Macaca fascicularis: one gene and its partners. The protein of the gene in region 1 purifies or fractionates together with the protein of each later gene. This does not show direct contact. Links are inferred from orthologs where the notes say so. Each region holds a gene or a part of one and is shown in the gene's direction. Other genes may lie near its edges. The genes, in order: XPO1, CTNNB1, NMD3, NUP62, RCC1, NUP88 and YWHAE.

Evidence for each region.
Region 2: the proteins of XPO1 (region 1) and CTNNB1 purify together in Homo sapiens (affinity purification with mass spectrometry; 3 studies listed by BioGRID, with this or other methods). This does not show direct contact. The link is inferred for Macaca fascicularis from reciprocal best matches to the Homo sapiens genes XPO1 and CTNNB1.
Region 3: the proteins of XPO1 (region 1) and NMD3 purify together in Homo sapiens (affinity purification with western blotting; 3 studies listed by BioGRID and IntAct, with this or other methods). This does not show direct contact. The link is inferred for Macaca fascicularis from reciprocal best matches to the Homo sapiens genes XPO1 and NMD3.
Region 4: the proteins of XPO1 (region 1) and NUP62 purify together in Homo sapiens (affinity purification with western blotting; 4 studies listed by BioGRID and IntAct, with this or other methods). This does not show direct contact. The link is inferred for Macaca fascicularis from reciprocal best matches to the Homo sapiens genes XPO1 and NUP62.
Region 5: the proteins of XPO1 (region 1) and RCC1 purify together in Homo sapiens (affinity purification with mass spectrometry; 3 studies listed by BioGRID and IntAct, with this or other methods). This does not show direct contact. The link is inferred for Macaca fascicularis from reciprocal best matches to the Homo sapiens genes XPO1 and RCC1.
Region 6: the proteins of XPO1 (region 1) and NUP88 purify together in Homo sapiens (affinity purification with mass spectrometry; 3 studies listed by BioGRID and IntAct, with this or other methods). This does not show direct contact. The link is inferred for Macaca fascicularis from reciprocal best matches to the Homo sapiens genes XPO1 and NUP88.
Region 7: the proteins of XPO1 (region 1) and YWHAE fractionate together in Homo sapiens (co-fractionation; 3 studies listed by BioGRID, with this or other methods). This does not show direct contact. The link is inferred for Macaca fascicularis from reciprocal best matches to the Homo sapiens genes XPO1 and YWHAE.

What each region holds. Positions count from the first base shown.
Region 1 is NC_088387.1:60,431,905-60,435,404, forward strand, and holds part of XPO1 (exportin-1), read left to right. Parts: intron 1-68; coding exon 69-207; intron 208-370; coding exon 371-552; intron 553-637; coding exon 638-794; intron 795-868; coding exon 869-1,032; intron 1,033-2,216; coding exon 2,217-2,351; intron 2,352-3,500. UniProt on the Homo sapiens protein: Mediates the nuclear export of cellular proteins (cargos) bearing a leucine-rich nuclear export signal (NES) and of RNAs.
Region 2 is NC_088376.1:104,069,814-104,073,313, forward strand, and holds part of CTNNB1 (catenin beta-1), read left to right. Parts: intron 1-267; 5' UTR 268-315; coding exon 316-328; intron 329-435; exon of another isoform or gene 436-567; intron 568-774; coding exon 775-1,002; intron 1,003-1,198; coding exon 1,199-1,452; intron 1,453-1,577; coding exon 1,578-1,816; intron 1,817-1,904; coding exon 1,905-2,106; intron 2,107-3,453; coding exon 3,454-3,500. UniProt on the Homo sapiens protein: Key downstream component of the canonical Wnt signaling pathway.
Region 3 is NC_088376.1:64,190,379-64,193,878, forward strand, and holds part of NMD3 (60S ribosomal export protein NMD3), read left to right. Parts: intron 1-908; coding exon 909-1,043; intron 1,044-3,196; coding exon 3,197-3,293; intron 3,294-3,500. UniProt on the Homo sapiens protein: Acts as an adapter for the XPO1/CRM1-mediated export of the 60S ribosomal subunit.
Region 4 is NC_088393.1:57,890,287-57,893,341, reverse strand, and holds the end of NUP62 (nuclear pore glycoprotein p62), read left to right. Parts: coding exon 1-1,203; 3' UTR 1,204-2,555; downstream 2,556-3,055. UniProt on the Homo sapiens protein: Essential component of the nuclear pore complex. The N-terminal is probably involved in nucleocytoplasmic transport.
Region 5 is NC_088375.1:206,513,537-206,517,757, reverse strand, and holds the start of RCC1 (regulator of chromosome condensation), read left to right. Parts: upstream 1-1,421; 5' UTR 1,422-1,480; intron 1,481-4,221. UniProt on the Homo sapiens protein: Guanine-nucleotide releasing factor that promotes the exchange of Ran-bound GDP by GTP, and thereby plays an important role in RAN-mediated functions in nuclear import and mitosis.
Region 6 is NC_088390.1:5,477,772-5,481,271, reverse strand, and holds part of NUP88 (nuclear pore complex protein Nup88), read left to right. Parts: intron 1-1,639; coding exon 1,640-1,809; intron 1,810-3,500. UniProt on the Homo sapiens protein: Component of nuclear pore complex.
Region 7 is NC_088390.1:1,505,493-1,509,481, reverse strand, and holds the start of YWHAE (14-3-3 protein epsilon), read left to right. Parts: upstream 1-1,189; 5' UTR 1,190-1,301; coding exon 1,302-1,365; intron 1,366-3,989. UniProt on the Homo sapiens protein: Adapter protein implicated in the regulation of a large spectrum of both general and specialized signaling pathways. Binds to a large number of partners, usually by recognition of a phosphoserine or phosphothreonine motif.

The sequences.
Region 1 (3,500 bases):
TAAGCTTCTACACTAATGATTTCAGTGATCTAATGATTTTTTCTTGATTGATTTATTGCTGAATATAGGTCCGTTTATTAATGGTTAGTCGAATGGCTAAACCAGAGGAAGTATTGGTTGTAGAGAATGATCAAGGAGAAGTTGTGAGAGAATTCATGAAGGATACAGATTCCATAAATTTGTATAAGAATATGAGGGAAACATTAGGTAAGTTAATAAATACTGTTAATCTTTACCTTTATAAATTTATTCTGGGGTAGAAATATATTTTAGAAAATGTACTGTAGTTTCTAAATATTTTCTAAACATGGTATTCATTGGTAAAACTCTTTGCTCATTATTTGCATTTGAAACAATTTTTTTTTCGTAGTTTATCTTACTCATCTGGATTATGTAGATACAGAAAGAATAATGACAGAGAAGCTTCACAATCAAGTGAATGGTACAGAGTGGTCGTGGAAAAATTTGAATACATTGTGTTGGGCAATAGGCTCCATTAGTGGAGCAATGCATGAAGAGGATGAAAAACGATTTCTTGTTACTGTTATAAAGGTATGCAAGGGATAGGTATGAATTAGAATTGCTAAATAAGTATTATGTTGTTACAATAAATGATATAAATCTGTCTTATTTACAGGATCTATTAGGATTATGTGAACAGAAAAGAGGCAAAGATAATAAAGCTATTATTGCATCAAATATCATGTACATAGTAGGTCAATATCCACGATTTTTGAGAGCTCACTGGAAATTTTTGAAGACTGTAGTTAACAAGCTGTTCGAATTCATGCATGGTAAATCTCTTTCTTTACTATATTTTGTTTTTATTTTTATTGAACAAAATAAATGAATGTTTTTGTCTTGTTAGAGACCCATGATGGAGTCCAGGACATGGCTTGTGATACTTTCATTAAAATAGCCCAAAAATGCCGTAGGCATTTCGTTCAGGTTCAGGTTGGAGAAGTGATGCCATTTATTGATGAAATTTTGAACAACATTAACACTATTATTTGTGATCTTCAGCCTCAACAGGTATGTTAAGCACTGAGCATATGTTATTTTTAGAAAGTAACACCTGTATCAATCTGTATGTATCAGTGGAAATAGGAAGGCAACTGTTGGATCCAATAGAAGTGTTTCTGATTAAACTTTCTTTTTTCCTTGAGAACAGGGTATTACTCTGTTGCCCAGGCTCAAGTGCAATGGCACGATTACGACTCACTGCAGCCTTGAACTCCCAGGCTCAGGTGATCTTCCCACCTCAGCCTCGTGGGTAGCTGGGACTACAGGCGTGCACCGCCTTCACACCCAGCTAGCCTTTTTCTCCCCCCTTGGTAGAGATGGGGTTTTGCCAAGGCTTGTCTTGAACTCCTAGCTTCAAGCGATACGCTAGCCTCAGCCTCCCAAAATTATTTTATATGTGTGAGCCACGATGCCCGGCCTGATTAAATTTTCATAGTGAGACAGATTCTTGTTTTTGTTTTTGGGGGGGTGTGTGTGTGTGTGTGTGTGTGTGTGACGGAGTCTCCCTCTATCATAGAGTCCAGGCTGGAGTGCAGTGGCACAATCTCTGCTCACTGCAGCCTCCTGGGGTTAAGTGATTCTCTTCCTCAGTGGCTGAGATTAACAGGTGCGTGCCACCACGCCCAGTTGACTTTTGCCTTTTTAGTAGAGACGGGGTTTCTCCATGTTGGTCAGGCTGGTCTCAAACTCCTGACCTTGTGATCCGCCCGCCTCGGCCTCCCAAAGTATTGGGATTACAGGCATGAGCCACCACCATGCCTGGTTTGGGTTTTGTTTGTTTGTTTGTTTGTTTGTTTTGTTTTGAGATGGAGTCTACCTCTGTCACCCAGGTTGGAGTGCTGTGGTATAATCTCGGCTCACTGCAACCTCTGCCTCCCAGGTTCAAGCAATTCAAGCCTCCCAAGTAACTGGAATTATAGGCACTTGCCACCATGCCTGGCTAATTTCTTTGTATTTGTAGAAGAGATGGTGTTTCACCACGTTGGTCAGGCTGGTCTGCAACTCCTGAACTCAAGTGATTGGCCTGCCTCAGCTTCTCAAAGTACTGGCATTACAGGAGTGATCCCCACCGCACCTGGGCCAAAATCAGTTTCAAGATATTTGAGTTGCTTGTGTGTGAATTGCTTGTGTGTGGTTTTCCTTATTAGGGTGTATAAGAACATAAAAGTTAAAATGTCTGCTTTTTAAAATAGGTTCATACGTTTTATGAAGCTGTGGGGTACATGATTGGTGCACAAACAGATCAAACAGTACAAGAACACTTGATAGAAAAGTACATGTTACTCCCTAATCAAGTGTGGGATAGTATAATCCAGCAGGCAACCAAAGTAAGTATTCTACTTTTTCTTAAAGTTTTCATGGGATTTAAGAAGACTGTGTTCCTTACAAATATATTGAATTCAAGCCTTTAAACATGTATGTGTGATCCGTAAGTGCTTTTATGTGTGGCTTTGTACATTTTATTATCTGGGCCAGGCGTGGTGGCTCACGCCTGTAATCCTAGCACTTTGGGAGGCTGAGGCGGGCGGATCACCTGAGGCCAGAAGTTCGAGATCAGCCTAGCCAGCATGGCGAAACCCCATCTCTACTAAAAATACAGAAATTAGCTGGGCTTGGTGGCACATGCCTGTAACCCCAGCTACTCAGGAGGCTGAGGCAGGAGAATCACTTGAACCCAAGAGGCAGAGGTTGCAGTGAGCCGAGATCGAGCCTCTGTACTCTAGCCTAGTCGACAGAGCAAGACTCCATCTCAAAAAAAAACCTGAAAATCTGGGCCGGGCGCGGTGGCTCACGCCTGTAATCCCAGCACTTTGGGAGGCCAAGTCAGGCAGATCACAAGGTCAGGAGCTCCAGACCATCCTGGCTAACACAGTGAAACTCCGTCTCTACTAAAAGTACAAAAATTAGCTGGGCGTGGCACCGGGCACCTGTAAGTCCCAGCTGTGCTCAGGAGGCTGAGACAGAATGGCGTGAACCCAGGAGGCAGAGCTTGCAGTGAGCCAAGATCACGCCACTGCACTCCAGCCTGGGCGAATAAACGAGACTCCGTCTCAAAAAATATTTTACTTCATTCTTAGGTAGATATGGACAAAAAGGCTTTTGTGTTCGTTTTTACCATTTGGGATTATAAATATGATTTAGGGTAAGGGAAGTGTAATGGCTTTTGTTTCAGTAATTATGTGGATAATTTTTTTTTTTTTTTTTGAGACGGAGTTTCACTCTTGGTGCCCAGGCTGTAGTGCAATGGCATGATCTCAGCTCGCTGCAGCCTCTGCCTCCCAGGCTCAAGCAATTCTCCTGCCTCAGCCTTCCAAGTAGCTGGGATTACAAACAAGCGCCACCATGCCTGGCTGATTTTGTATTTTTAGTAGAGAGAGGGTTTCTACATGTTGGTCAGGCTGGTCTTGAACTCCCGACCTCAGGGTGATGTGCCTGACTCAGCCTCCCAAAGTGCTGGGATTATAGGTGTGAGCCAC
Region 2 (3,500 bases), on another chromosome or scaffold:
GATTATCTGTAATTTATATTTCTACTATTAATAAAAAGATGTATTTGGTAAGGAGGAGTTTTCACTGAAGTTCAGCAGTGATGGAGCTGTGGTTGAGGTGTCTGGAGGAGACCATGAGGTCTTGTGTTTCACCAAATAACCTGGTAAAAGAGTATATGGGGTTTTTTTTGTGGGTGTAATAGTGACATTTAACAGATATCCCAGTGACTTAGGAGTATTAATCAAGCTAAATTTAAATCCTAATGACTTTTGATTAACTTTTTTTAGGGTATTTGAAGTATACCATACAACTGTTTTGAAAATCCAGCGTGGACAATGGCTACTCAAGGTTTGTGTCATAAATCTTTAGTTACTGAATTGGGGCTCTGCTTCGTTGCCATTAAGCCAGTCTGGCTGAGATTCCCCTGCTTTCCTCTCTCCCTGCTTACTTGTCAGGCTACCTTTTGCTCCATTTTCTGCTCACTCCTCCTAATGGCTTGGTGAAATAGCAAACAAGCCACCAGCAGGAATCTAGTCTGGATGACTGCTTCTGGAGCCTGGATGCAGTACCATTCTTCCACTGATTCAGTGAGTAACTGTTAGGTGGTCCCCTAAGGGATTAGGTATTTCATCACTGAGCTAACCCTGGCTATCATTCTGCTTTTCTTGGCTGTCTTTCAGATTTGACTTTATTTCTAAAAATATTTCAATGGGTCATATCACAGATTCTTTTTTTTTTTTTAATTAAAGTAACATTTCCAATCTACTAATGCTAATACTATTTCATATTTATAGCTGATTTGATGGAGTTGGACATGGCCATGGAACCAGACAGAAAAGCGGCTGTTAGTCACTGGCAGCAACAGTCTTACCTGGACTCTGGAATCCATTCTGGTGCCACTACCACAGCTCCTTCTCTGAGTGGTAAAGGCAATCCTGAGGAAGAGGATGTGGATACCTCCCAAGTCCTGTATGAGTGGGAACAGGGATTTTCTCAGTCCTTCACTCAAGAACAAGTAGCTGGTAAGAGTATTTTTCATTGCCTTACTGAAAGTCAGAATGCAGTTTTGAGAACTAAAAAGTTAGTATATAATAGTTGAAATAAAATGTTGTGGTGAAGAAAAGGGAGTAATAGCAATGCCACTTTTACCATTTAGGATAGCAAATACTTAGGTAAATGCTGAACTGTGGATAGTGAGTGTTGATTAACCTTTTCCAGATATTGATGGACAGTATGCAATGACTCGAGCTCAGAGGGTACGAGCTGCTATGTTCCCTGAGACATTAGATGAGGGCATGCAGATCCCATCTACACAGTTTGATGCTGCTCATCCCACTAATGTCCAGCGTTTGGCTGAACCATCACAGATGCTGAAACATGCAGTTGTAAACTTGATTAACTATCAAGATGATGCAGAACTTGCCACACGTGCAATCCCTGAACTGACAAAACTGCTAAATGATGAGGACCAGGTGAGCAATGACATGGCTAGCTTTTTAGTCTGCTTTGAAGTAAATGCTCAAGGGGAGTAGGTTCAGAATGTCTACCCACTACCAGGACTTGAAAACTAATGATGTTTCTGATTCTTGTATTATAGGTGGTGGTTAATAAGGCTGCAGTTATGGTCCATCAGCTTTCTAAAAAGGAAGCTTCCAGACACGCTATCATGCGTTCTCCTCAGATGGTGTCTGCTATTGTACGTACCATGCAGAATACAAATGATGTAGAAACAGCTCGTTGTACCGCTGGGACCTTGCATAACCTTTCCCATCATCGGGAGGGCTTGTTGGCCATCTTTAAGTCTGGAGGCATTCCTGCCCTGGTGAAAATGCTTGGGTAAGAAAACATTGTCAGAATGCTTGAAGCTAAAAAGTAGAAGAGTATAGTCACAATAGTTCTGATGAGGCTTTTTTCTTCTTCCCAGTTCACCAGTGGATTCTGTGTTGTTTTATGCCATTACAACTCTCCACAACCTTTTATTACATCAAGAAGGAGCTAAAATGGCAGTGCGTTTAGCTGGCGGGCTACAGAAAATGGTTGCCTTGCTCAACAAAACAAACGTTAAATTCTTGGCTATTACGACAGACTGCCTTCAAATTTTAGCATATGGCAACCAAGAAAGCAAGGTAAGAGAATTCTTCTTTATGTGGTTTTCATGGAGCATCGGACACTTCCAGTGTCATGTCATTCCATGCAGTGTTCCTAACCTTTTTGGCACCAGGGATCAGTTTCGTGGAAAACAGTTTTTCCATGAATGGGTTGTGGGAATGGTTTCTGGATGACACTGTTCCACCTCAGATAGTCAGGCATTAGATTCTCATAGGGAGCGTGCAGCCTAGATCCCTCGCATGTGCAGTCCACACTAGGGTTTCCGCTCCTATGAGGTTCTCATGCTGCAGTTGATCTGACAGGAGGTAGAGCTCAAGCCAGGTAATGCTCGCTCACCTGCCACTTACCTCCTGCTGTGCAGCCCAGTTCATTTCTGTTCTTTTAAATTTTTGAGTTTCCATATGTAAAGCACTATGCAAAGTAATAGGGATATCATAGGCAAGCTTCTCTTCACACTTTTGTAATTAGGTGGGATGTAGATGTTGGGAATAATAACCTAATATTTAATTCATGTAGTGGGAAGAAGTGGGGGCTATGAGAGCACATTACACAAGTGAAACAGACTCTTTATGAGGGTTCAAGGAGGTACCTCTTGGAGGAAGTGATAGTTGAGTTCAGTGTTCAAGGATGAGAAGGGATTCACTAGGTGAAGGTTAGGTGAGAAACAGCATCTTTGAAACGAAGGAAGGAGATGGAAAGTTTTGGGAATTTAAGAAATACTAACAGTAAAGAGGAAGAAAGGTTTGAGGTGAGGCTATTGAGATAGACTCAGCAGATCTCATAGGGCTTTGTACAGCATGTTTAAAAGCACAATGGGAAATTTCAGCAGAAGCATGAAATGATGAAATTTGTTTTTAGAAAATTGGGGCAGTGTTGAAAGGGAAGATACACAGGGGATGAAAGGACAAGAGTGAATGATCATTTTATGGTATCTCTTTTTAAGGTGGATATAATTAGGAAAATTAAAGGGCCAAGTGATAAGGAGTTTTAAGTGCCAGTTCTGGTTCAAATTTTCAGTGAATCAGTTTTGATATAACTTTCATCTTAGGGCATTAATCTTGCCTGCCAACATGGTTTCTAAATTTTTTTCTTCTGCTATGATCAGTATGGGAAGAAGGAAATTGGGCCAAAACTGATACATTCTTGGGAGGACTGGGATGTCTGAATTTGAGTGGAATGCTTTAAAAGGACAAGTTGGATAGGGCCCCAGTATGGGGGTCAGAGTGATGGGGTCCAGGGATACATTTAGGTCCAATGACAAGCTGGCTGAAATTCTTGTATAATAAAATATGTTGGTAATATGGCTCTTCTCAGACATGTGATCAAGATTCCATGACTAACAAGATATGTATATATCTTTCTAGCTGATCATACTGGCTAGTGGTGGACCCCAAGCTTTAGTAAATATAAT
Region 3 (3,500 bases), on another chromosome or scaffold:
ATGGATAGTGTTGGTTGTGGTAAAGAGCACGTTCACGTTTTTTAATTGTATTTAAGTATTTAAAATTAAAATTAGTGCAAGATTTGTATTCATCAATATACCGCCGTTTGTTTTAATGTGGCAATATAGTTTCATTTGCTTTTAATAGAAAAAGACTTGTTTAGACCCATACTGGCTATTTAAATGTAGATCTGAATTTTTAAAAAAAAAGGACATTGAGTTTCTCAGTTGTACTAGTCACTTTTCATGGCCCAGTTTGCCACATGTGGCTAGTGGCTACCTTGTTGTACAGACCAGAATAAAACATTTCTATCATGACATGAAGTTCTGTTGGACAGAACTGACTCTCTAGAAGCTTTAGGACATCGGCCTTGTATTGAGGATTTTTAGAATTATAGCCATTTTTGGTGTTTTTGCCCCTGTATTACAGGGTTATTCTTTATCTACTGCATCTTTGAAGATTGCTTTGTTTCTTTTTTTTAAGACATCGTCTTGGTCTGTCACCCAGGCTGGAGTGCAGTGGCGTGATGTGGCTCACTGCAACTTCTGCCTCCTGGGTTTAAACGATTCTCGTGCCTCAGCCTCACATGTAGCTGGGATTACCAGCATGTGCCGCCATGCCTGACTGATTTTTCTATTTTTAGTAGAGATGGGGTTTCACCATGTTGGCCAGGCTGGTCTCGGACTCATTATCTCAGGTGATCTGCCTGCCTCAGCCTCCCAAAGTGCTGGAATTACAGGCGGGAGCCACTGCGACTGGCCCAGGTTGCCTTGTTTCTGTCATTTTTTTAAAAAGAGCAAAGATACTATGGCCTAACTTGAAGGCTTTTATTTGTTTGGCATCTAAAAAAAAAATTTAGTGTATTTTAAAAATCTAATTTGAAAAATGTATCCTTTATTTATTGAAGCTTGTGCTGTGAGTGTGGTGTTCCGATAAGTCCAAATCCTGCCAATATTTGTGTGGCCTGTTTGCGAAGTAAAGTGGACATCAGCCAAGGTATTCCAAAACAAGTCTCGGTTTCATTCTGCAAACAATGTCAGAGGTACGGTGCAGTACAATTTTGCTCTTTTTAAAGTTGGAATTTACATTTAGAGAACCACTGAGATATGCTGAGATTACACGAAGGTATATGGAGTAAAGTGCATGCAGTTAAAGTTTAAATGTTCTGTTGGTTTCGCCAAAGATTTCAGAATTTGCAATTTTATAGTGTACTTTTCTAGTGTGTCCTTCTAATCTGGTAAAGATAGTGTAAAGGTATTTGACTCTGTCCTTCTGTTAAAGGATCTAATAGATTTGATATATACAATTAATAGGTGGGAGTTGATGTTTGTAAGGGTGAGAGCAGATTATTGAGGACATATTCTTGTTATTATGAGGTTTTTTTCTTTAGTTATTAGAAGCCATGTATGATAAAAAGCACCTTATGTTTGTAGTAATTTAGTAATATGTTTTAAAAACTCTTATAACGTTCACGTGTAATTAAAATAACTATTGTTGATGGAAAAGAAGCTCAGTAAATCATATCTGGAATGGTCTGAAATAAAGATTGTATTTGAAGGCAGAAGACTTCTGAAAGTTAATGTTTCATTCCTCTTGATTTTCTTTGTTGTGATAAATAACTTACATCTATTAGGCCATGGAGAAACATAAAACTGCTTAATGAGTATAAAAGTATATGCCTTTTGGGTTTATTCCAAAATGGGTTAAGACCCTAACTTTTTGAGTGTGTATCTCTAGAGGGGTGGTTCATGGACTCCTTTGAGAATTTGAAAACTGTATCTCTCCCCCCAAATATTTGCACATATATATATATGAACAAACACATGAAGCTTTGTGTACTTTTTTGGGGAGTTTACAATATACAAGCTTAGCACGTGTGAGGGTTAATCTGTTGTAACTATTTGCTATTATAAAGCCTGGTGGAGTTAGAAAAGTACTGATAAAGAACTAAACAGACTTAGTTTGTCTTGGCTTCCTCACAAACTAGCTGTTTGAAACTCTTGGCCGTTTATCATTTCTGGGCCTCAATTTCCTCATCAGAATGAAGGGTTTTATTAGGTGATATGTGAAGCCTTTTCTAACTCTAAAAGTATACTCATAGACCAGGCATGGTGGCTCACGCCTGTAATCCAAACACTTGAGGAGGCTGAGGTGGGTGGATCACTTGAGGTCAGGAGTTTGAGAGCAGACTGGCCAACATGGTGAAACCCTGTCTCTACTAAAATACAAAAATTATCCGGGCATGGTGGGGCATGCATGTAATTCTAGCTACTCAGGAGGCTGAGGTAGGAGTATCACTCGAACCCAAGAGGCAGAGGTTACAGTGAGCCGAGATTGTACACTGCACTCCAACCTGGCCGACGGAGTGAGACTCTGTCTCAAAAAAAAAAAAAAAAAAAAAAAGAAGAAGAAAGAAAAAAAACCCAATAAATAAGTAAATAATTATGTACTTATAAACAAAGGGGGACCTGTGTCATGTTTTTGATTGAACCTTGAAAAGTGAAAATCAAAACTCTCTGTTATTTAACAAGTATGGCAAAAAGGCATTCACATAATACGTTTGGAAGTATTTTATATTTAACAAGCATTTATTGAATACCTACTATAAGATGTGTCTGGCATTGTGCTAAGCCCTGGATAGGCGGGACTAAAAACCTTAAAGCACATGTGTGAGAGATTTAAGTTTTGTTTTAGTCAGGTTTTACCTAAGATTTTAAACATTGTTTTACAATTTGAAATTTGAAAAGGACTTGAAATGTAGATGAATAGACTGAACTATTGCGATTCATAGTGTTGTGAGGTACTAATGTACCTTTTTTTTGTGAAAAATAAGCAGTTCTCAGGCATTTTAGAAGTACATGATAAACAATTTTAATGCCATTTTGAGATAATTCTCACCTGTTTTTCAGAGCATAACTTCAAGAGACTCTGAACATTTTAGTAGTGATTTGGTGATTGAAATAATAAGATCACTTTAGTAGTGGCTTTCTCAGTCAGAATTTTACCTTTTTAGTTAAAGCTACTAGTCTAGTTGAAAGTTTTGGAACCATTAAAGTATTTTGAGTTATGTGCTTCATATCATCCTTGGGTTTTATTATGCCTGGTTAATAATTTGGGTTATATCTGTATATTCAGATGGAAATTTCTGTGTTTCCTGAGAGATGTTGGATTTCAGTATGTTATCTTCTCTTTTAGGTATTTTCAGCCACCAGGAACTTGGATACAGTGTGCTTTAGAATCCAGGGAACTTCTTGCTTTGTGCTTGAAAAAAATCAAAGCCCCTTTGAGTAAGGTAAGTTAAACAGCTAAAATCAGTATTTATAGGTATGTTTTCATTGATGGTCTCATTTTCAGAAAATTCTTGTGAGTAGGTTTTTCAAAAGTAACTTTTTTTTTTTTTTTTGAGATGGAGTCTCACACTGTCGCCTGGGCTGGAGTGCAATGGCGTGATCTCTGCTCACTGCAACCTCTGACTCCCGGGTTCACACGATTCTCCTGC
Region 4 (3,055 bases), on another chromosome or scaffold:
ACTAATGCCATATCGAGCACTGTCACCTCCAGCCAGGGCACAGCACCCACTGGCTTTGTGTTTGGCCCCTCCACCACCTCTGTGGCTCCAGCCACCACATCTGGAGGCTTCTCATTCACTGGTGGAAGCATGGCCCAGCCCTCCGGTTTCAACATTGGCTCAGCGGGGAATTCAGCCCAGCCCACCGCACCTGCCACTCTGCCCTTTACTCCGGCCACGCCAGCAGCCACCACAGCAGGCGTCACGCAGCCAGCTGCTCCCACAGCCACAGCCACCACCACCGGTACTGGGCCCACCCTCTTTGCATCAATAGCAACCGCTCCAACCTCGTCTGCCACCACCGGACTCTCCCTCTGTACCCCTGCGACCACCGCGGGAGCCCCCGCTGCCGGGACACAGGGCTTCAGCTTAAAGGCACCTGGAGCAGCTTCGGGCGCCTCCACAGCAACATCCACCACTGCCACCGCCGCGGCCACCAGCAGCAGCAGCAGCACCACCGGCTTTGCCTTGAATTTAAAACCACTGGCGCCAGCTGGGATCCCCAGCAATACGGCAGCCGCTGTGACTGCTCCACCTGGCCCTGGTGCAGCTGCAGGGGCGGCCGCCAGCTCCGCCATGACCTACGCGCAGCTGGAGAGCCTGATCAACAAATGGAGCCTGGAGCTAGAGGACCAGGAGCGGCACTTCCTCCAGCAGGCCACCCAGGTCAACGCCTGGGACCGCACGCTGATCGAGAACGGGGAGAAGATCACCAGCCTGCACCGCGAGGTGGAGAAGGTGAAGCTGGACCAGAAGAGGCTGGACCAGGAGCTCGACTTCATCCTGTCCCAGCAGAAGGAGCTGGAAGACCTGCTGAGCCCGCTGGAGGAGTTGGTAAAGGAGCAGAGCGGAACCATCTACCTGCAGCACGCGGATGAGGAGCGCGAGAAAACCTACAAGCTGGCCGAGAACATCGACGCGCAGCTCAAGCGCATGGCTCAGGACCTCAAGGACATCATCGAGCACCTGAATACGTCCGGGGCCCCCGCCGACACCAGCGACCCGCTGCAGCAGATCTGCAAGATCCTCAACGCGCACATGGGCTCGCTGCAGTGGATCGACCAGAACTCGGCCCTGCTGCAGAGGAAGGTGGAGGAGGTGACCAAGGTGTGCGAGGGCCGGCGCAAGGAGCAGGAGCGCAGCTTCCGCATCACCTTCGACTGAGCGACAGCAGGGCCCTGGGAGTTCCATGCGGGGAACGCGCCCTGTTGTCTAGTTTGGGGTTGTGGCAAGATACATGTTTCTTTCTTTCACGTGACTGCCTTTGAGACAATTGCTGTGTGCTTTGCCTTTTTCCATGTAGGAAGTATTCTGAGCCCTCTGCCCAGGCAGCAGCCTCATGGGTGTGGCTTCTGTGGCTTTTATTTGAGTGTCTTTGGCCCCTTTCCAGCCACTGCGACCGCCCACCTCATCCTGGCTCGACCTGGTGATGGAGACGCAGTGGTGGTCTTGGTCCCAGCCAGGGTCGCGGGGACAGCTGCTCTCTCCAAAGCGTAGTCATAGGTGTCATGAAAAAATACCAAATGTAAGAGAACCTCCAAAGCCTGCAGGGCGCAGTGGCTCACGCCTGTAATCTCAGCAATTTGGGTGGCTGAGGCAGGCCGATCACTTGAGGTCAGGAGTTCAAGACCAGCCTGACCAACATGGTGAAACCCGTGTCTACTAAAAATACAAAAATTAGCCAGGTGTGGTGGGTGCCTGTGATCTCAGCTACTCGGGAGGCTGAGGCAGGAGAATCACTTGAACCTGGGAGGTGTTGCAGTGAGCCAGGATCACACCACTGCACTCCAGCCTGGCAACAGAGACTGTCTCAAAAAAAAAAAAAAAAAGCGTCCCAGGAGACAGCAGCCTAAGTTTTGGAGTAGGAGGTGTGTGCCTGTGAAAGCTAACCACCAAGACAAAGCAGCACAGTGTGAATAGAACAAACAGTGGGATCGAGAATTGCACAGAAGACAGGTCAGCTGAGGGGCCTACACACAGAGGCCTGCCTTTTGCCTGGCCCAGGCTTACCCCCACCTCTGGGCCTCACCTCCTCCAGGAAGCCTTCCCAGCTACCCAAAGCTCAGGTGGCCTTCTTGCAGGTCCCCGTAGCACCCTGAGCCTGTACCTTGGGTAACACTTGCTATGCTGTCCTGTGCTAGCCGTTTGCGTCCGTCTCGCGGTTAGATTGTGAGCTCCCACGGGCAGAGACCCACTGTTGTTCCCCTGTATGTCCCCAGCCCAGTCCAACAAATGTGACTGGGACATTTATTAAATGAAAGAACAATGAAGCCCGGCATAACAACAGTCCACAGAAATAGCCACAGCTGCCAGTGGTGGCCACGGACATGGCTCTGAACTTCCTGGCACCAGAGTGACTCTAGTCAGTTACAGTAAAATCCACTGTGTGTGGAAGGCAGAAGCCAGCAGTTGTATCCCAAGTGTCTTTTGTATTTGTCTTTATCCTTTGCTGCATTCTCTGAAATACCTATTACTGTATGTTGCTTTTCTAAATAAATGTATTGTGAAACCAAAAAGGCTGCTAATATGGATAAATGTTAGGAGGAGAAACTTGAGTAAAAAGAGCAGCTTTCAGGAGACTCTGCAGGGGTGTCATTCACGTGAAACGCAGGGGCAAGCAGTGCTTGCATAGACACAGGAGCATGTGATGAAGCAGCTTTTGTTTGATGAGACGGAGTAATAGAAAATGCAAATTGTGGTTTGCTCCGGGAAGGGGTGGTGCCTGGTGGTAGAAGAGGAACACGCGAGTGAAGCCACCACGGGGAGTGGGCCCTTGGTGTTTGTGACTGTTATGTCATAGAATATACACAAATATGGCTGGGCGAGGTGGCTCACACCTGTAATCCCAGTACTTTGGGAGGCCGAGATAGGTGAACACTTGAGGTCAGGGATTCAAGACCAGCCTGGGCAACATGGTGAAACCCATCTCTACCAACTACAAAAAAGTTGGTTGTGCATGCTGGCACGCACCTGTGTCTCAGCTGCCTGGGAGGCTGAGGTGGGAGGATCATTTAAG
Region 5 (4,221 bases), on another chromosome or scaffold:
TTCACAGTACATCATCCAAAAGAGGAGTCCATGATGGAGGCAGAGGTAAACTTGGAGAGGTAAGAAACTCTGAAGACGGGGGAGTCCTTTGTGGCAGGCCCTGCATAGAAGAAATTCAGCCTGGCCAACATGGCGAAACCCTGTCTCTACTAAAAATACAAAAATTAGCCAGGTGTTGTGGCAGTCACCTGTAATCCCAGCTATTCAGGAGGCTGAGGCAGGAGAATCGCTTGAACCCGGCAGGCAGAGGTTGCAGTGAGCCGAGATCACAACACTGCACTCCAGCCTGGCTGACAAGAGCGAGACTTGGTCTAAAAAAAAAAAAAAAAAGTTCAGTTGGTAAGAACTCATCAAAAGTGTCCATCTAGACTTTGGGTGCAGTAGAATGACTCAGAGTCTGAATCAACGTGAAATCAACAAAACATCATTTGCAAGGGTTTCAGGGAACACCTGAAATCCTGAAGAACTGTTTGTATCCATCCTGAAGAATGGGTGTATTAACAAGAGACAGCCTTTCCTTGGTACCTGTTTTCCATCTCCAACCCAACCCCAACTCACACCCTTATCTCCTATTTTATCTGGTCTCTCTCGTTCCTCTTGCTCTTCCCCACTTGGCTCCCGTTTTCCCCAAGTCCATTCTCTATTTTGTTCTATAAGATCTGATCATATCGGGATGCTTTTGTAGCTCATAAGAATGATGACTGGGTGTTCACACGCATGTGAGATGTGCCTCCCTCAAACCTTAAGACATGGGCACATACCCATCTGATGTTAACTCACGGGGCACAAAATCTGATCATGCCATTCCCGTGCCCAAATCCTCATATATCCCCACTGCCTCAGGATACAGGCTGGACCCCTTGGACACACAAGACCCTGCATCCATGATCTGTCACTCCCACAGGCACCCTCTGCTCCCATCTACTTGGCAGTTTCCCACAACCTCCCTGGGTTCTCATGGTTCCCTGTCATTGCAAACGTCGCTTCTCCTAGGATGTCCTGCCCTCCTAGACTTAACTTGGAAAGCCGTTCTTAAGCCCCGCGCTGAGTAAGATGCCCCTGTGGGTATCACGGTCATAGCGCTGTGTGGTTGCTGAGAGTCTGATTTTTCATCCTTCTCCATGCCCTCTTGAGGGTAGGGAAGATATCTTTTTTCTCCGTACAGACCCTACCGCACGAGATTTTCCTAAACAGACCGAATTCAAGGAGTCTTTCTGGTTGTTAGTCCACGTGTCCCGATTTGGGGTTTCCAAAATACACACTCACTGGAACCGGGCCAGGGGAGCCAGCCTGGCCAAGAGCTCCCCCCAGCCCGGGAGCGCGCCACATGCAGATCCTGGGATGGCCGCCAGGGGCCGCCGGGCTCTTTGTTTTCCTTTCTCGCCCGGGTCGGGGCCAGAGGCCTGCAGAGCGCATGCTCTGGGGCAGTACGCGGCCCGGCGGGGAACGCTGGAGTTCCTTGTGGCCGACGTGCACCGAGGTAGGTCTCGCTCAGGGCGCGCGGAGGGTCCGGGCAGAGGGCGGTGCGCGGGGCGGCCACAGCCGGAGCACGGGCCGGTCCACGCGGGCCTAGGTCGCTGTCCGCTTTCGCCCGTGTCGCGCGGCGCTGGCCCCACGTGAAGCCCGGCGGCAGGAAGGCGCGATGCGGGCTCGCGATTCCCCGGCCCCGCGGGGCGCTCCAGCGGCCGCTGGGCCCCGCCTCGCGGGAGCTAGGGCCGCGCTGCCCCTCCGCCGCCGCGCCTCTCACGCCTGCACCGCGGCGCCCGCGCAGGCGGGAGATTCAAACGGCGCGAGCGCGATGGGCCGGGTGCGCGCGGCCGCCCGGGCGGGGGATGGGTCTCTGCCGCGAGGAGAATGGTTTTGTCCAGCATGCGTTTGGAGAAGGCGGTTTGCAGAGCTGACAGGGAGCCCTGCCCGGGAGAGGGTGGATCTTCAGAGCTCGAGGGTGGGTAGTTGGGGGTCTGCTGCGGCGAGAGAAGTCCCAGCGTCGGCAGGCACCCAGGCACCGCTGTGGACCTTTGGGAGCCGTGTGTCTCGAACTCCGCAGCAGCTCAATCTGTCAGCAAATTATTTGCTGGCCATCTATTCCGTGCCGCTCTTGCAGGGCTGGGGGACAGTGGTGAGAAGGGCAGGCCCGTGTCATTAGCGAACTATGCCCTGGAGCCCGGGCGACGAACGCTACTGCCAAGTCTTCATTCATCACATATTGACCTAACTTCGACCACGTGTGACTTGTGTGGCCTAGCAAAAGTTGAGTGTGTGGGGTGTTACGGGAACCCTCAGGGGGACCCCCCGCCCTACCCAGGAGGCTCAGGGATGGCTTTCTAGGTGAAGTGACTCTTGAATGGGGTTTTGAAGGAACAGAGTTTTTCGGGCAGTCTGAGGGTAGTGGGATTAGGGTGATTCAGGCAGAGGGACTGCAGGTGCAAAGGCATGAAAGTATAGATATTGTGGTAAGGGATATCACAGGTCTTGAGGTGACTGGAGGAGGAGAGTAACAAGATGATACAGCAAGGGCTGGGTCATGAAGGGTCTTGGGTGCAAGACTAAGGAACACTGCGGGGTGGAGGAGGCAGGGAAGGATTGCCCCAAGAAGGACATCAGAGTGAAACCTGGACAGATGAATTAGGAGTTCCCGAGGCTCTTGTTTCAAAGACATCCCAAGAGCAGGAATCCTGTTCTGTTCCTCTTTACAACTTTCTCATCAGATGCCCTTGGGCAACCCACCCAGTCCCCCAGAGCATTGGTTTCCTTATCTTTATAGCAATGGTAGGGGGCATGTGGTGAGGATATATATATATTTTTTTTTTGAGACGGAGTTTCCGCAATTATTACCCAGGCTGGAGTGGAGTGGTGCGATCTCGGCTCACTGCAACCTCCGCCTCCCAGGTTCAAGCAATTCTGCCTCAGCCTGCCGAGTAGCTAGCTGAGACTACAGGAACAGCGCCACCAGGCCCCGCTAATTTTTGTATTTTTTTTTTTTTTTTTTTTAGTAGAGACGGTGTTTCACTATGTTGGCCAGGCTGGTCTCGAACTCGTGACCTCAGGTGTCCACCTGCCTCGGCCTCCCAAAGGGCCGGAATTACGGGTGTGAGCCACCGCACCCGGCCAATTTTTTTTTTTTTCCTGATACGAAATCTTGCTCTATCGCCCAGGCTGGAATGCAGTGTCGTGCTCTCGGTCATTGCAGCCACCACCTCCCGGGTTCAAGCAATTCTCCTGTCTCAGCCTCCCAAATAGTAATATCCTATAATTTTCATAAAGCAGTCATTCCAACATCTAGTGGAAGTTGTGGGTCCCTTCCCCCAGGAAAAATGAACACATAGACCCAAGCACAGGTTGTATCCAGTGGGGATCCCAAGTGAGAAACTCCTAGTGTGAAATATACCAGCTCTGTGCCTGGCGTAACAGCAGCTCACCAAATGTATATTGTTGACACACGAGCCCTCTCCTCCCTTCCCTCCTGGGGACCTTTCACACAAAGAGATTTTTCAGCCTGAGTCTGGCAGGCAAGTTCTCCCTCCTGGCGTGGGGGACGGAGGGCACAGCTGCAGTGGTCTGGGAGGGCTCTGTCTCCTTTTACAGAAATTGAGGCTGTGGTGAGGTCACTGGAGGTCAGGGCAGGAGCACCAAACTCCAGGCAGACTGTTTAGACTGGCATGCCTACCCACTTTCTTCAATAAATAAGGAAAGTGAGGTGGGGTAGGGCAGCTCTGGCTCTGGTGGAGCAGGGTCATGAGACTGGGGTTTCATTGCACCTCTGTGGGACCTGGGCCACCTTTCCCTGAGCCTCATCTTCCCCTTGGCTGTAAAACCGGGATGAATCTGCTCACCTCAAAGGGCAGCTGTGGGCATTCTGGAGTGCCTGATGGTGGAAGCTGACTCTGTAGCCAACTTATCTGGGACTGTCTCACTCTTCTCCCAGAGACTGTACGCTCCTTGAAGAAGGAAGCTGTGTTGGGTGGGGCTGGGCAGGGAAGCGTGATGCTAAAAGCCGACTCCTTATTCCCAGCCCAGACACTGCCAGGTTAAGAAAACAGCCACAGGCCGGGCGCAGTGGCTCACGCCTGTAATCCCAGCACTTTGGGAGGCCGAGGCGGGTGGATCATGAGGTCAGGAGATTGAAACCATCCTGGCTAACACGGTGAAACCCCATCTCTACTGAAAAAAAAAAAAAAAATACAAAAAATTAGCCGGCCATGGTGGCAGGCACCTGTAGTC
Region 6 (3,500 bases), on another chromosome or scaffold:
TCTAAAAGCATTTTGGCTTAGGGTGATTCTTCATACATAAAGATAAACAATACCTTGGCAGTCTCATAACATATTCCTGAAAGTAGAAAGAAAAGAAACAGATGGTCATGGGAGAACAAATAGAACCAAGAGAAGAAGAGAATTTTGAGGACATGTGGTGCTGACACAACATACCAGAATCTCATGAAAAGATCACTGTTATTAAGCCTTCATGGGTAAAGCAGCATTCTGCTTGCTACAGAAGCTCTTAAAGCCACCCTTTTTTTCCCCCCAGTTTTTGTAGAAACGAGGTCTCACTGTATTGCCCAGGCTGGTCTCAAACTTTCCTCAGCCTCCCAAAGTACTGGGATTACAGGTGTGAGACGCTGTACTTGGCCTTCAAGCCATTCTTTACTATTATATAATAATTATCATTGCTTATTAATTCTGAGTTTATGTCTATCTACTAAGCGTCTGTTGAGAGTCAGCAGTATGCCAGAATGCTAAGAATACAGAGAGGAAAGATGTAGATCTCAGGTAATTCATAGTTGTGTGGGATGAGCAAGTAAAAAGGACAATTAGAATGTTGGATGATAATAAGTATGATAGAATTATCCAGAGCATATCATTGATGTACAGAAAAGATGGCCAGGCGCAGTGGTTCACGCCTTTAATCCCAGCGCTTTGGGAGACTGAGGTGGGCAGATCAGTTGAGGCCAGGAGGCCCATCTCTACTAAAAATCAGGAGGCAGAGGTTACAGTAAGTCGAAATCGTACCACTGCACTTCAGCCTGGGCGACAGAGCGTGACTCTCTCAGGAAAAAAAAAAAAAAAAAACAACAGAAAATATGCACTTATTCCTGGCCAGAAGATCAGGGATGTTTTCTGGGGAAGAAAGTGCATAGAAGCTGAATCTCCCAAGAATGTGTAAGTCTTGTTAGCTAAAAAAGAAAAAAATCAAAAGCATTGCAAGAAGAGAAACAATTGTACAAAGACACAAAGGCATGGCAGAGCATGATGATCTCCCAGAAATACAGAAATACCAATTAATCTGTTTGGAGTGTGAGGTACAAGCAGAAGAGTGGTGGAGAGTTGAGACCTGGAGTAGTAGGGTGGAGCTTGATTATAAGAAGGAACATTACGTGTAGTAGTCTCTATTTATCAAGGTAAGGAAATCTGATGCATTTTATGGAACATTCCAATCTAGATGATTTAAAAAATTTCATGGCCGGGGGCGGTGGCTCACGCCTGTAATCCCAGCACTTTGGGAGGCCAAGGCAGGTGATCATGAGTCAAGAGATCGAGACCATCCTGGCCAACATGGTGAAACCCCCGTCTATACTAAAAATACAAAAATTCCCTGGGCGTGGTGATGTGCGCCTATAGTCCCAGCTACTCAGGAGGCTAAGGCAGGAGAATCGCTTGAACCCGGGAGGCGGAGGTTGCAGTGAGCCAATAGTGGACCACTGCACTCCAGCCTGGTGACAGAGCAAGACTCCATCTCAAAAAAACATGAGGTAATGGTACAAGTGTGAGCACTTACCCAGAGTTTTATTATCCTATAATTGTTGTAAACTAAACTATTACTGTGATTTCAAGTAACTGCCATCCATATTTATATTAAAACTAACTATATTGACTGGTTTGCTTTAATTTTCAGAGATTGCTTTGCATAAATCCACCCCTGTTTGAAATCTATCAAGTCTTGTTAAGTCCAACACAACATCATGTAGCACTTATAGGAATAAAAGGACTTATGGTATTAGAATTACCCAAGAGATGGGGGAAGAATTCTGAATTTGAAGGTGGAAAATCAACAGTGAATTGTAGGTAAGTTGTATGGTATTTATCTGTATCATTTATTATATATACAGAAAATTGTTCAAGACCAGTGGTTCTTAAGCATGTTTAGTATACTGCTCTTGAAACATTAGAGCACTCCTCGTGGTCTGCAGACTGGCTTCTGTGTTACCAATGTTTATAGTATATGTGTGATTGATTGTACTTTTATTCTGCCTGAAGTACCACATTGCTCTCTCATTGGAGGCTAGGCCATTCTTTCAACTAGGTAGAAGTAAGTATTTTATATATATATATATATGTGCGTGTATATATGTGTGTGTGTATATATGTGTGTGTGTATATATATATATTTTTTTTTTTTTTTGAGATGGAGTCTTGCTCTGTCACTCAGGCTGAAGTGCAGTGGCACAATCTCGGCTCACTGCAACCTCTGCCTCCTGGATTCAAGTAATTCTCGTGCATCAGCCTCCCGAGTAACTGGGATTACAGGCAAGCGCTGCCACACCCAGCTAATTTTTGTATTTTTAGTAGAGATGGGGTTTCACCATGTTGGCCAAGCTGGTCTTGAACTCCTGACCTCAAGTGATCCACCCACCTCAGCCTCCCAAAGTGTTGAGGTTATAGGTGTGAGCCACCGCACCTGGCCTATTTTTATATAATTTCTTTTTCAACAAATCCAGAAAAGTGAATCTGAAAGATCTACTCAAAAGAGTACAGATGCTTGTCAACTTACGATTGGGTCATGTCCCGATAAACCCAGTGTAAGTTGAAAATGCATTCATTGCTGACAGCACAGCAGATGATCCCTGATTTAGGATGGTTCAGCATAGGATTTTTCAACATTATGAACCCATCATAAGTCATAAGGAGCTCCTCGATTTATGATGGATTATGTACTGGTAAACCCATTGTAAAGTTGGGGATCATCTGTATAAGGTAGAAACTACTTTTAGCTCCACAGCTTATAAGTTGAGTCCCCTTAAACTGTTTATTTCCTAAGTCTCTGTTTCCTCGTTTTAAAAACAGGATTGATAATATCTGCCCTTGTAATTTCCTAACAGGGTTAGTAAAAGCATCAAATGAGATACTATATCTGAAAACACTTGTACTGTGTAAAATATGTATCAATCCTAAGTCAAACCATCCTAAAATGTATATATATGTATGAAATATTATATAATTTGAGGCCAGGCACAGTGGCTCACGCCTGTAATCCCACCACTTTGGGAGGCCCAGGTGGGTGGATTGCCTGAGCTCAGGAGTTTGAGACCACCCTGGGCAACATGGTGAAACCTCATCTCTACTAAAAAAAAAATCAGCTGGGTGTGATGGCACACACCTGTAGTCCTAGCTACTCAAGAGGATAAGGCACAAGTACTGCTTAAACCCGGAAGGCGGAGGTTGCAGTGAGCCAAGATCGCACCACTGCACTCCAGCTTGAGCCACAGAGCGAGACTTCATCTCAAATAAATAAATAAATAAAATTTAATTAAATTATTAAAATAAATTATTTATTTTGAGACAGAGTCTCGCTCTGTAGTCCAAGCTGGAGTGCAGTTGCATGATCTCAGCTCACTGCAACCTCCTCAGCCCAGGCTGGAGTGCAGTGGCGCGAGCTCAGCTCACTGTGGCCTCCGCCTCCTGGGTTCCAGCGATTCTCCTGCCTCAGCTTCATGGGTAACTGGGAATACAGGCACGCGCCACCACACTTGCCTAAT
Region 7 (3,989 bases), on another chromosome or scaffold:
GTGCAATGGTGTGATCTTGGTTCACTGCACCCTCCGACTCCCTGGTTCAAGAGATTCTCCTGCCTCAGCCTCCCAAGCAGCTGGGATTACAGGCGTGCACCACCACACCCAGCGAATTTTTGTGTATATATATATATATTTTTTTCTTTTGAGACAGTCTCGCACTGTCGCCTGGGCTGGAGTGCAATGGGGGGATCTCAGCTCACTGTAACCTCTGCCTCCCGGGTTCAAGAGATTCTCCTGACTTAGCCTCCTGAGTAGCTGGGATTACAGCCATGTACCACCACGCCCAGCTAATTTTTTGTATTTTTAGTAGAGACGGGGTTTCACTATGTTGGCCAGGCTGGTCTCGAACTCCTGACCTTGTGATCCGCCCGCCTTGGCCTCCCAAGGTGCTGGGGTTACAGGTGTGAGCCACTGCGCCCGGCCAGGGCCCAGTTCGTTACCCTGAGTGTAAAAGTGTCTGAAATGGGCCCATGACCAGGAGTGGCGGAGAAACCCAGGACGCGGGCCGGGCGCGGTGGCTCACTCCTGTAATCCCAGCGCTTTGGGAGGCCGAGGTGGGCGGATCACCTTGAAGTCGGGAGTTCGAGACCAGCCTGACCAACATGGTGAAACCCCGTCTCTATTAAACATACAAAAGGTAGCTGGGCTTGGTGGCGGGCGCCTGAAATCCCAGCTACTCGGGAGGCTGAGGCAGGAGAATCACTTGAACCCGGGAGGCAGACGTTGTGTTGAGCCGAGATCGCACCACTGCACTCCAGCCTGGGGAACAAGAGCGAAACTCCGTCTCAAAAAAAAAACAAAAACACAAAAGGAAACCAGGACACGGTAGTGACAGCCGCTGCTTTCGGGGAGGAAGACCTGCCATGACAGAAACCGTTAGCGCCTCAGTCGTTCTCTTCCGCAGGTCGGGCCTCGGGCCCAGGTTTCCCGCCGGCTTTTTTCAGGAGCAGTCCCGGCCGGCCCCGCCTCAGCCCTTCCCGTTCCCCGGGGGCCGCTCCCTCTCAGCAGTCGCAGTTCCCGCCTCTGGGCTCCGGCGCCCGCTGAGCCGACGGAGGAGGGGCGTCTCCTGCGCTGGTTCCAGCCTCTTCGGGCGCCGAGTTCCAGGACCCGCCCCCCGCGCCAGTTGCCAGGGAGCGGTTGCCATAGAGCTGAGCAGTTGTCCGCGTGCGCAGGCGGAAGTCCCGGATTGAGGCGCCGCCATTTTTGCTGCCCGGACGCGGAGCGAGAGGCTGAGAGAGTCGGAGACACTATCCGCTTCCATCCGTCGCGCAGACCCTGCCGGAGCCGCTGCCGCTATGGATGATCGAGAGGATCTGGTGTACCAGGCGAAGCTGGCCGAGCAGGCTGAGCGATACGACGGTGAGTTGGGGGGGCAGCGGGGGGCTGGAATTCTCGTTCCCTCTGCCGCCGCCCACAGAGGCCGGGAACAGGAGACAAAATGGCGGCATCGTCTGCGAGCCTGGCCCGGGGGCTTGGGTTCGGGAAGCAGGAAATGGCCTGGGAGCTCCCGGGGCAATGGGAGGCTGTATGCCTTGGAATGTGACCCCTTCGCCGTCCTTAACTGCAAACAACTCGCGGGCCGGGAGGCCGGGGAGACGGGGTGGAGGAGTTGGTTGTAAAATGGCGGCTGGGGGGAGGGCGAGTCTCGGGGCGGGGGAGGGGGAGGAGATGGCGGGTGCTGTCTCCGAACGAGCAGCCCTCAGGGGAGCTTCTGGGACGGTCTTGGGATGTGGAGAACAATTGGGTGCGGTGACGGGGGAAGCAGCACCCGCCACATGGGAGAGAGCGGAGACCGGGAGCTGTAGCGCGGGCGCCTTTCAGGGAAATATGGCGGGTGGGGGCGGTGGCTTTTCCCCGGAGGCCCCGTGTGGGGCGGCGGCCGTGGAGTCTCACAAAGGAGAAGCCTTCAGAGCGATGGGCTTCCTCAGGCCTGAGGCGGGGGACAGTCCCGGGTGATGGTGGGGGGAGAGGGGTGAGCGGGAATCACTGCGGTTCGTCTGGGGCGGTGGCAGGCGCCGACGCTGCGATCGGGTTTCTCTCCCGTGGGCCGGCACCTCGTAGTGAGGGGGTTTGGGGCTTTTCCTCCTCGCCGCCTGCTGGGGAGGCCCAGAAAACCCTCACTCCCTCCCCTTTCCTCAGACTTAAAACGGGAGACCTCGAAGTTCCTGTAACCTTTCTCTGACTGCATCACCAGTGGGTTCTGATGGATAGAAGCAGGAGACCAGGAGGCCACGACTCTGAGAGTTCGAGCCTTTGTAGGGCCCGAGCCTCAGTCCACCCGTTTGTAAAAACGATGACTTTACAGTTTGTGCGCACCATCATGACACATGGAAAGACCTGTTGAAATAAAGTTATTTCCAATAGTGTTCAGTCACTGTATTTTGGTTGACTCTGCAGGCTCGGGATGCTGGTCTGTACTTCGTGGGGGAGCTTAACCTATTCCAGGCACTCGGCTGAGGCTGGGGTTTTTGAGTTATGAAGGTTGGAGATCCTGTTGCTTTCTTTTTTTCCATTTCAAATAAATGGGTTTATGTAGAAATTTTAGTAGTTCCTCTTTGTTCGTTGTTCCTTTGCCCATAACGGGTTCTCCAGTCCTTTTTCATAACTTTATCGAAATATCCATTGTGTCTGTCTAGTCATTGTCAGGAAGTTTATTCTTAGTCCTCCCTCCCAGTCCACCTTTTGAAATACCCTCACATTTATAATTGTGCGATACTGTAGTATTAAAGGAAAAGTCATGTATGTGGGTCCTGTGGTTTTAATGCTTTTGTGTGGTAGGGTGGGATGAGACATGGTTGGAATCAAGTATCTTTGATCCTTAGATTTTTCCTGATTAAGCTACCTGTATTTCAAAATGTTGTGTAGGGCCGTTGCTTTCCTGGAAATGCAGATTTAGTCATGTGAATAACCTCAGGGCTACTCCCCCTTATCAGAAACGAGGATTCAGGGATTTGAAAATAAGACAAGGCCTCTAGAAGTCAAATTTGGAATAATACTAAACTAAATTTCGTCTTGTAAATTGTTAAATTGCTATTTGTATTGAACAAGATTCCTGTTGGGAGAGGGAGGGGAATTAGGTGGGGAAGTGCAGCTCAAGGTCAGCTTTGTCTTTATTTCAGTGTTTAAAAATCAAACAGATAAAGATGTGCTTGTATTGGAAGTCTCCTCCTCCGCTCCTCATCTCCAGATGTTCCCCTCTTCATCTATTAGTGTTCTTGGGAGGAAACAAATTATACTTGAATGCTTTCTGTTTTGTGGGCATTGGAGCTCTGAGTAAACTTGCTGTGATAACTAGAAAGGATGTGAGAGAAGGTCTTTTTTTTGAAAGCTCCTTTAAAAAACCGATTTGAAAGCTTATGATTGTAGTTTCCAATTAAATGACAGGTTAGTGATAATTATATTTTTGATGTGAGTGGTGAAGATTTCTGACCAGAGCCCTTACTGGTTATTGAACATAGGACTCTGATAAAGCCACATCCTTACAGTTGTTAATGTTAGGTGTCCCCTTCAGGATCTAAAGGGGTAAGGAAATAGAATCTGCAAGGTGAGGAGCTATTCCTGTGACTTGGGGCATATGGTAGGGATTCAGTAGAAAGGAGAGGAGGAGAAGGAGACAGACACCAGGAATTTCTACCTGTGTCCTCTGCCTGTGTCCATTCCTTTATTGAGTGCAATATTTTTTTGTTTCTGGGACGAAGTGTTGCCGGAGTCCTGGTCACCAAACAGAATTTAGCAGGTGTCGGTGGTGGAAGAAGGTAAGACAGTATATTAGCAGGATTTCTTTGTTGGATACTTGTACCCAAATGCTGGTTTTCCAGCTGCTCTTTTATCTTTCTGTTAACTGCAGTAGGCCTATTTTATTTTGCTTGCTGTGTTGAATTAATGCCTAAACTTACATGTACCCTCATTTAATTCTATCCTGGGGCGTTGGAATCAATTTATATGGATTATTTAATGGTACGGGAGGAAGAGCTAAGCTGTAT